Linked DNA regions of Drosophila melanogaster. The protein of the gene in region 1 interacts with the protein of each later gene in a biochemical or structural test. Each region holds a gene or a part of one and is shown in the gene's direction. Other genes may lie near its edges. The genes, in order: Sema2a and PlexB.

Region 1 (4,994 bases):
AACAAATAACAAAACAGGACATTCACAACAAATGGTTTTTATCGCTTTCTCAAGCTGTGTATGTGTGTGCGTGTGTGTGTCTGTCAGTGTGTTGGTGTGGTTCGCTGCTGGTTATTTGGCCAACTTTTTATATAATGCATGAAAGTTGCCGGCCGCTGACAAGTTGAGCGACCAACAATGTTTGGCGAGACAAGTTCCATGTATTATTTGGCACAATCAAAATGCTATTTAGGCTCTCTCCCAATTTATTAAGTAATAAATTGCATCACAAAATAATAAGCAAAACGAATGCTAGTTTTTATGTTTATATGAAGGGTGGTTGATTGGCAACTATTTCATTTTACTTGAATTTCTCTTTTCGTCCCTTAAATTGTTGCATGACTTCTTATGGAATGACGTGTACTTTTTAGATTTGAAATTATTATTTAATTGACCGCAACTAAAGGATTCCGAGATGAAGAAAGCGAAAGAACTAAACAAAACACATCCCATCTTTTTCCCACACATACATACGTGTGCGAGTATGTGCTACGTGTGAGTGCGTTGTGCCTTTGTTTGTGTACGTGTTGGGGCATACGCGCTGTGCAAAGTGCGCTAAATTAAGCTGTCATTAAGGACTTAATTAAAGTCCTTTGTTGAAAGTTGACATTGTGTGAAAGAAACGTTTGCGAAAACAAATGACAATGGCGACGTTGTCGCTGCTGCACTTGAAAGGCTATCCCCCGAAAAAGGGAAAAAAACCCAAAAATGGCAACCAACATCAAAGCAACTACAAAGCGGCAACAACAATGCGGGCTAGAACGAGAGTGAGTGTGAGAGAGGGAGAGGCAATGAAATAGAGGGATAGAGTGAGTGAACATGTGTCAAAAATTTTCAACAGTATCATGATGCAAGTGCTCCTTTGGTCGCACGGTCGGGTGCGAGGGGGACGACTAGTGTGGTGATTCTGCGAAAACTCATTAGCAGGCAAACAGAGAGAAAAGGCCAGGCAGACACAATCAACCAGTGGCGTGCGCAAGGATTTCTTGTGGGGGTTAGCCAATGATTGCGATCAAAATTATTAAATTTTAGTTGGAAACGTTTGCACTATATTATAAGTTTCTTACCTTTTTTTTCTTTGATGGTCACGTACCACCTGAGCTGATCAGTGCCTCAAACAATCATCATTAACATCTCAGCTGAATAATTGAATAAACTACAGCCCCTACGCCACTGATGGAAACGAAAGCACGCACAGGTGGCACCCGTACAATAGAAAATATCAAGGAGATGCGAAAACATAACCGACTTGCTTTTTAATTAAATATTTTGCCAAGCAGACACTCAAATGCCAGAGACACTAGCAAACTGCGTTTAATTGCCGCTCGAGGCTGCTAAATGCAAGGATTCGTCTGCATACCTGCCATCCATCCATCCATCCTGCCGCCCGTTTTGTGTGTGTCTGGGTTGGCAAATGTTTGCCTATTGCCAAAATTGTCGTTGTCCTTGTTGTCCTTGCTAAAAATCACTTTGCCGCTTCCGCACGGTGAAGTACGAAAATTGAATACCGCCATTCTGCAACGGCATTTTGTGGCAAGGAGCAAGGATTATATCGACAAATGAAAATCCACGACGCTCCACGAATATTAAACAAAGTTTTGTGTCAACAGTTTTTACCTTTTCTTAAGAATAATTTAAGAAATAGTTAAAATCGGCTTGAATACGTCAAAGAAAATATTATATTATATATTAACTAACTTAAAAAGCAAGCGCATTGTAAACAGACAAAAATAAGAAAGCATATTTCAAAGTTAGCCAAAATAAAATCTAAAACTTCTGATATAAAGAGAAAAAGTTATGCAAATTATATATATTTTAAATATTATTTTCAAACACGATCACCATTGTTGGTATATACCAAAAACCCAAACGCGTGACTGCGATAGTCATTCGACTTAAACGCGCTAGCGTTTTTCTCACATCTGCGCGATCGGAGCGATCGTGCGTTGTTGTTGTTTTCTCACTTCTACTTGTTGTCGGTTGTTCTTTTGTGTTTGGTGTTTCCGCTCGAGATTCTTGGGCATTTTACCAGTGTTCCCTTTCGTGGCGGAACTTGTTTCGCATCGGTAAAATATCTGAAATGCATTAGGCTTGCAACTATCTAATTGGCGTTTTGCAGTTCATTCAATTCGGAGTTCGATTTTCGAAATTCCAATAAACCGAAACTCCCAACAACAACTCAAGTGTGTATCTCTGGCTTTGTTGTTGCGTATGTGTGTGTGTGTGAGTGCGTGAGCAAGTTTGTGTGCGTGTGGGTTAAAGGCAAATTTTAAACTGAAAGCAAGGAAATATTTGCAGATTCATCATTTATTTATTGATGCAGTGCCTTGTAAATAGTATAAACTTTAAGAAACGCGCTCGTTCACCTTCCTTGTCTCTTTCCCACTCTCCAGCGTTGAGGAATTTTCATTGTTTCCCAATATTGTTGCTTTTTTTTTTGTTTTTCCGATGCGTGGGCATATAATAAACCAGTTTAACGTTTCCTTTTGCCTTTATCTTCATATCGCACATGCTTTCCGATGGCTAAATGCGTTGAAATCGAATTGAAAACCGAATTGAACACAGAACTGTGTAAAATGCATTACGCCTTTATGCGCCTGCAACGCATACATAATTAATCCGAAACGAAATTGGCACTACGACTGCGGGTCCAAAAAAAAAACATATATATATAAGGAGAAAAAAATAGCAGAGGGGTGCTATAAATCGCCCAAGGAAAGAAGTTTATTTTAAAATCCATTTGCCAGTGAAATCAATTCCATTGCAATTGCCGCAAAAGTGTGTAAAAATAATACAAGTTAAATGTGTTAACAGTTATTCGTGGGAAAAAACGTGCCGGTTTTTATTCATCAAACGGTAAAATCAACAAGCAACCGCCTCTCGCTCGCTCTTGCACTTTAATCCAATTGAGGTTGGTGGGGTCGCATTCGGCCCCCGGTCGACCACCCCTCTCGCTCGCACCGCCCTCGCAATGTCGCTTCTACAGCTATCGCCGCTCCTCGCACTCCTGCTACTCCTCTGCAGTAGTGTGAGCGAGACAGCTGCGGACTACGAGAACACCTGGAACTTCTACTACGAGCGTCCCTGTTGCACTGGAAACGATCAGGGGAACAACAATTACGGGAAACACGGCGCAGGTAACTAGCCAACTAACGGTATAAAAAGGGGCGGGAACACGGATTAAAACACACTTGTAAAATAAATTTTCACTTTTTGTGCCCTTTTTTCGAGGGGCTTTAAAAATTAAAAAAAATGTTAACAAAATCTTTTACTAGTTCACATTTCTTCGTAAAAACTATGTGAAATGTATGTTAATGTTCGTTACACTTAAAACTTAAGAATGAAAACATTATTTAAAACGCTATTTTACAACTTGATCATAACTTAAGTATGTATGAAAAAAATGAATTAAAATTGTTTCGCATTACTTATATTTTGTACAGGGTACTTAAATCGTCGGCTTACACGAATAAGACAGCTTTTTCCCCTTTTTTAACTGCGGCCAATATTATTTTTCAATCTTTCAGGCAACAACAAATTTGTAATTTATTTGCCATAATATTCGCACATGTTCTTTGTGCCTTTATTATTTATCTCGTTTGGTTCGATTTCAATTGCAACTATATTTTTTCGTTTCGGTTTGGGCCATTTTCCATTTCTGGCTCGGAGCATTGTGATTGTTGTTGTTTTTTATAATTTGCATATTAATGCGGTGCATTCATAGTGAATATTGCTGGTCCGCGCAATTGTGAATTGTTGCTATTCATATGCATATTTCATGTTTAAACAAATACCAATAATGTAATCATATTTTAACCATATGCAGTCCTATAATCCACAGAGATAAATCCTGAATGATATATAATTGACTGGGTTCCCTTAATCCCCCCCTCCCCTACCACTCTAGAAAAATGTGAATGCTTTACCATTTAAATGTTCAATCTACCTAGATTTTCCGCTGTATTTTTTTACAAGCCCTCTGTTTCGTAGACTTGGCCAGCTTTATTGAGTCATTAAAGCCTAAAAGTATTTAAAATTCATCTACGAGCGGCCACAAACAGGTTATTCACTTCTCTATGTCTAAGCCATGTTGGATTTTGCCAATAATTTTGGCCAGCATTCATTTATCATCGTGCGGTTGATTGAAAAGTTCCCCAGCATACATTGAATGTGGCTAGAGAACAGCAAAAAGCCATCAAGTATCAAGAACGCAGAAAATGTTGTATAAAAAATTTAAATCTCATTTAGCCAGGCTGGCCAAACAACAACAACAACAACAGCAATCCGGGTCAAGACCAGTAAACATTTTCTAATAGTCCACGTTCCGGAATGCCTGGCATGCCGTCCCCCTTGTCTCCACTATATCTTTAACTATAAGCCATAAGTGCAGCATAAAACTTCACGTGCCGACAACAACTTTTTGGTCCTTGCCGCATGTTGCGCTGTAAACTCAATAGCTAAGCACTTGCCCTAAAGGAAAACGTGAGACGATTAGGGAATCGTTCAAGCTGCTTGCGCATACTTTTCCGGGAGTTATATAGCAAAATCTATATGGGATAAGTCCGAAATGCATGCAGAAGGAGCTACAAAGTTCGAAGGTTGGACATTTGCACCAGATGCACTATATAAACCGATCGGCGGGCCATAAATTAAGGTAAAACCAACTAAACCACAAAAGCCACCGAACTGAATAACAACAAAACTCTAAAATGTCAACTATAAATTCCCCCGTTGATGCGGAATATTTATTGCATGTTTTTTTTTATCTTCTTCTTCTTTTACCCGTCTGTAAATGAAAAAGCACTATTTTCATTGATTTAAATGAAATTAATTGCACTTTATTTTAGGGTAGTACAAAATTTATGCCTCTCTATGGCATTTGTGAGTACCAATGCGGCCGCAACGTCCTCTGTCGCCACCTCGGCCACTTCAATTGGTTGACTCAGCGGTTTGAC
Region 2 (5,318 bases), on another chromosome or scaffold:
ACTGTGTTACATAATGAGACGTATTTTTAATTACAATGAAGAGGATCAAAAAATTAAAAGATTACCATTCCTTTTTCGGAGTAGACAATGTCACAAGAGCTCGTGCTTAGCATTTGTTGGGGTCAATTGCTTCCAATTTTTAAAACCAACGAATATTTAAATATTTTTTTGTAATCAGAAATTTATCAATAGATTCTACATGACCTTGCTTAATTATCACATAAAGGAAAATATTTGCGCGGTTTAAGAGCTGGAAGTTCCTAAGTTTACCATTAACCTTTTTATTGATATTATTTTGTTTCGCTTTTTAATACTGCATTCTTAGCTTCACGGCAGCAGCGTTGCCAATGTAGATTTTTTCCTACTAGAATAAAAAAATACAGAATAAGCAATCATTTGCGTCATTGTGAGTTGTGAGTGCAAACCAACAAAACTGGAAAGGTGGAAACTAATTTATAAAATCAAAAACGTTTTCCCGATGACAAGCGATTTGTTCTTAGCTGGGAATAACACTATTATAATAATAATATTATACTTATATAATTCCTAATAATTTGCTCCAAGCATACATTTTTTTTTTTGTAAAAAGAAAATTAAAATTAATAAAAAGTAAGTAAGTAAGAGCTGCGTATCATTGTGCCGTTTGATATTCCAAATTCCTAATAAATTATTCTCTTATTGAGTTGAAAAATATCCATGTTTGTCATTATATGTGTTGTAAAGATTATAGACAGTTTAAGTGTACACATTAACCTCTTTGGTCAATCTAATCTAACTTTTTGGTAAGAGATGGTTTATCTCTTTAGCATCTCTTATCGCAGCATTTTCTGCGGCAGGTCTGGTTATGTTTCGAGTGTTCACGTCGGCTGTTAACGGATTTTTGATACATTGTTGTTATGTGTAAACAGTTCTATTTATGTACTTGTACATGTTGCACAGCGCAAATATTGTCGATTAACCATGGTTTCCCGTGCTAAGTTTCGATGTGATGCCAACCAAGTATAAACTAAAGATCCTGTGTTATACCAAAACGAATTCGGCGTTGTCAAGATCGATGTTCCCGATTGCTCTTCAGTTCACAAAGAATTTTCACAGTAAATAATGTGATAGCAGCATAAGTTTCATTAACTATCGCTTTGAAATATAGTCGGTTAACCGAAGTACACCCTTGCAAAGTGACTACACAAATGGATTGATGAAGCATTTTTATAGGGGTCAATATCCAATGCTAAGTGTTGAAAAAAATCCACAAATAAAACTTCAATATCTGTAGTGGTTCCCTAATTTAACTTATATATTCGGAGAATAAATGAAATTGTATATACATATGTACGTATGACAGGATCAGAAATCTCTCTGAGAATATATAAAAATCGAATCTTCAATTCAGTCAAAATTTAAAACCCACCGATATAATCTATTTAGTGATACTTATTTAACTAAGTGTTAATAATTTACAGGTCTTAATGACGGTTGGTCTTAATTTACAGTTGTAGAGAAATTCAATAAATTATTAATAAGACAATTGATTAGCAAAATAGCCATTCGTTGGACAAATTTTCCAAAAATTGTTGAATAATAATAATCAAATTTTTTAAATTTATATAATTTTAATAGTAAAAAAGGTACATAAGTAAAATTAGTATAAGTATATACATAAATAGTCCCAAACACTACGTGGCGTTGAAGCCTCCATGCCATGAGAAACCCTTAATGAAATAATTTAACATTAAACATGTTATGATTTTAAAATAATTTTATAAAATTTTAGCCATCGTGCCACATAAATCAATGTTGTTCAAAACTTTGTGTAGAGATAGGTGGGTCTGTAACACTCGAATCAAAAACAATATTAAGATAAAAATAGCGCGCACGGCAAGTGTTGCATGGAAGAAGATGAGATCAATTTAGATTCTTTGGAGATTGCTCTTTTTAACGCGACTACCATTTCATTGATATTATTTTACAAAAATGTTCCTGGAACATTTTAGACTCCATCGGTGGTGTCTTCTTTCTTTTTTCTTTTAACATTAGCCAATTGATTGGATGTGGAATCAGAACTGAAAACATTTAAACGATATCTACATAAATACTTCCGAGGTTTTTAATGGTAAGCTTCCCTTTAATGTGCTCCTTGTGAATACAGCATTACAATGCCCTCTAGCTCGATAGTTCAATTTGTATGCGATAGGCTGATACAGCCGATACTAATAATCTGCTCTAGGACTGATAGTGTACACACAACGTTTGAGCGTTGCCTAAGAAGTTTTTTTTAAATAAATATTTGTTTACATTGACTAATCGATTTTTTGTGTTAAACAACCTTATAAAAAATGCGCTAAACCTAAAATAGCCAAATGGATCATTTTAATTTAAAAATATTTATGCACCTACAGTGAATCAGCGGCATATAAAATTAATTCGCATTAAATTCAATCGATATTAAAAAGTTTATATATTAAGGAGAGAGAATGTAGAGCTAAATAATAATAAAAATGACATATGGGGAATTGATGCCCAAACTCAACTACAAACTGATCATACACAAAACCACAAATAAATATGTTGCGAAAGGAATTGTATTGTGCAAACATTATACATGTTTTACATGTACTGTGTATTATTATCATACTCGGTTCTCAGCATTATTGCGTTAACTGCATTGAAGAACTGCCGGCTCAGGCGTTATCTCCCTTAAATGACATAGTCGCCCAGTTTAACTTGCCATCAATACCAGTTCAATCAACAGCTTCCAGCTATGGCAATCGATCAATTGGAAACAATATAGAAAGTGTTAGAGACTCTCAATCTAAAAATTATTTTACTCACATGAGCTTCGACTTTATGCACAATGTTTTGTTTGCGGGTGCTACAAATAAAATACTTAAACTTAACGAAAACCTTCGAGTGCTGGCCGAGGCTGTTACTGGGCCGTTACATGATTCCCCGCAATGTCACGCTGGAGGCTGTCCGGAAGATATTGAGACATCGCTTGTCAATAACTTCAACAAAATTCTAGTAGTAAGCTACGCTCACGATGGTATTCTCATAGCGTGTGGAAGCATTCGACAAGGTAAAATAGCAAACACATATCAAAATAAAAATAAAATACTTAAGTCGGCGACTTCGTATGGGACCGAAACTCCTGACATATCGTATTGGTTTATAGAAGTTATTGGTCATTTTTTGTAGTCATCGTAGAACAATGTCGCAGTGTTTTTGAGCTCCACATAAAAAAGCGGCGAATATAAGTAATTATTCAAAAGTGCGGAAGGAATATGATGATAAACAAAACAGGATTTTAAAATGTTATAAATTAAAAAATCTATAGTTGAACTCTTGAAACAATTTGGGTAGTATTAACGTTAAAGTATTAAAATAAAACAAGATAATATGCTATAGTCAAGATCTCCGATACTCAGCTAGTGTGAATGCGAACTCGAAATCGAAATTTCATCATTTTTCTGGGATATCGATAGATATTGGGGAATAAAAGAAGAAACAATTTGAAAAATGTTCAATAGTGTGGGCGTGACCGGTTTGGCGGCTTTAGGGAGTTAGAGTAGGCGTGGCAAAAAGTTTAAGCAACTAATAAAATTAAAAAAAATATTCTAAAATGTTTGCAAAAATATGGGCGGGCAGTTTTGGGCATAATATTACTTCAATCATGCGATGCGAATCGTCTTTAAAATACTTTTCAACGAATCAGTTAACAATTTTTACTGTTCCTGAAATCAATTCTGATCGAATAAACGAATTTACATATTTGGTAAGTTTTGGCCAATTTCGTAGCAATATGATGAAATTGCGCTCTTTTTTAGGAATATCAAATTGGAATATAACAAAAAAAAAACTGAAACTAAACAACTGAATCTAATGTGCATTTTAAATAATAAAAATGGATCATTTTATACATCATATTAAAATTAAAAAAATTTCATAAAAATAATACGTAGTAGAAAATAAAAATTTTTAACATAAATAAAAATATGAAAACTGTTTATTGCAAGTCATATGTATCTTGAGGCACGAAGTGCGGACACAAGCACTCAACAATCATTGCCTTATTAATTTTTCACACGTCGAAAGCTGAATACTCTAATGAATATAATAATATTATAAAGTCATTTTTGAAATTTTTTTTTGTGATAATATGTACATAGGTTTGACTCTTTCTAATCTATTTTCAAATAATAATAACGTTAAGGCAATGCAAAACAAGAATTTTTCGCATGGTGCCAATTGATCAAAAATAATATAGATTTAAAGTCTATGAACTTCTAAGGTGAAGGGCATATATTGTCAAATTTACAATGCATGAGCACACGTGTGCACACACACAGATGTCTGGTATCACTGTATGCGTAGAAAAGAGCTGTTCGTTGTAGCGCTCTCCGCTCTCTCGCTCTCGAACAAAAATTCGAGAGAGCCTGGAGCAACCTCTAGAGCCACGGCGAGAAAATCGTGGGCTAAGGACAGGCAGACGGACATGAGTAGATCGACTCGGTTAGTGATCAAGATCAGGATTTTTGATATTTTATAGGCTCGGTGACGTTCCGTTCTACATGTAGTATACATTTTTACTTTACAAGTTACGGGTATATCAAGTCCAATGGATACTATGACTTAGGTGTTATATTTTGTCCTTAAAATAGGTTTTAAAAAATTCCGCGATAGTAATAAAATTATCTTTATTTTCAGGAGCCTGCGAAATTTACAGCCTGCCACGTTTTCCGGCAACGCCCCAGTTTTTTGCAGTTCCATTGGCTGCTAACGATGAAAACGCGTCTACATATGCATTTGTAGGTCCGGCGAGATATGCGTGGAAAGAAGAGGATATTTTATATGTGGGGACAACATTTACGAATGTTGGTGATTATCGTCATGACGTGCCAGCCATTTCGTCCCGCCGACTTGATGATTTAAACTATGCTGAATTTTCAATACAGCAGTCAATTATAAATATCGATGTAAAATATCGGGATCATTTTCTAGTCGATTATATTTACGGCTTTAATTCTTCTGAATATGCGTACTTCATAATTGTTCAAAAAAAATCACATTTAGCTGATGAGGCCGGTTATGTAACACGCTTGGCACGCATTTGCATTACAGATCCTAATTACGACAGCTATACTGAAATAACTGTTCAATGCACTGCAACTGAAAACAATGTTGACTACAATATTGTAAGGGATGCGAAAGTAACTCCAGCCAGCCACAAATTGGCGCAAAAAATGGGCATAAAAAAAGACGATCACGTTTTAGTAACGGTTTTTTCGCCCTCAAGAGAAATAAGTAATCAGCCAGAAAGTAAG

The links.
Region 2: the proteins of Sema2a (region 1) and PlexB form a complex in vitro, tested with the Drosophila melanogaster proteins (one study listed by BioGRID).

The regions. Positions count from the first base shown.
Region 1 is NT_033778.4:16,514,166-16,519,159, forward strand, and holds the start of Sema2a (semaphorin 2a), read left to right. Parts: upstream 1-1,984; 5' UTR 1,985-2,105; intron 2,106-2,288; exon of another isoform or gene 2,289-2,368; intron 2,369-2,754; exon of another isoform or gene 2,755-2,853; 5' UTR 2,854-3,010; coding exon 3,011-3,176; intron 3,177-4,994. UniProt on the Drosophila melanogaster protein: Ligand for transmembrane receptor PlexB. Plays a role in growth cone guidance. Required for both proper adult behavior and survival. Can function as a selective target-derived signal that inhibits the formation of specific synaptic terminal arbors.
Region 2 is NC_004353.4:40,669-45,986, reverse strand, and holds the start of PlexB (plexin B), read left to right. Parts: upstream 1-2,208; 5' UTR 2,209-2,562; coding exon 2,563-3,073; exon of another isoform or gene 3,074-3,213; intron 3,214-4,701; coding exon 4,702-5,318.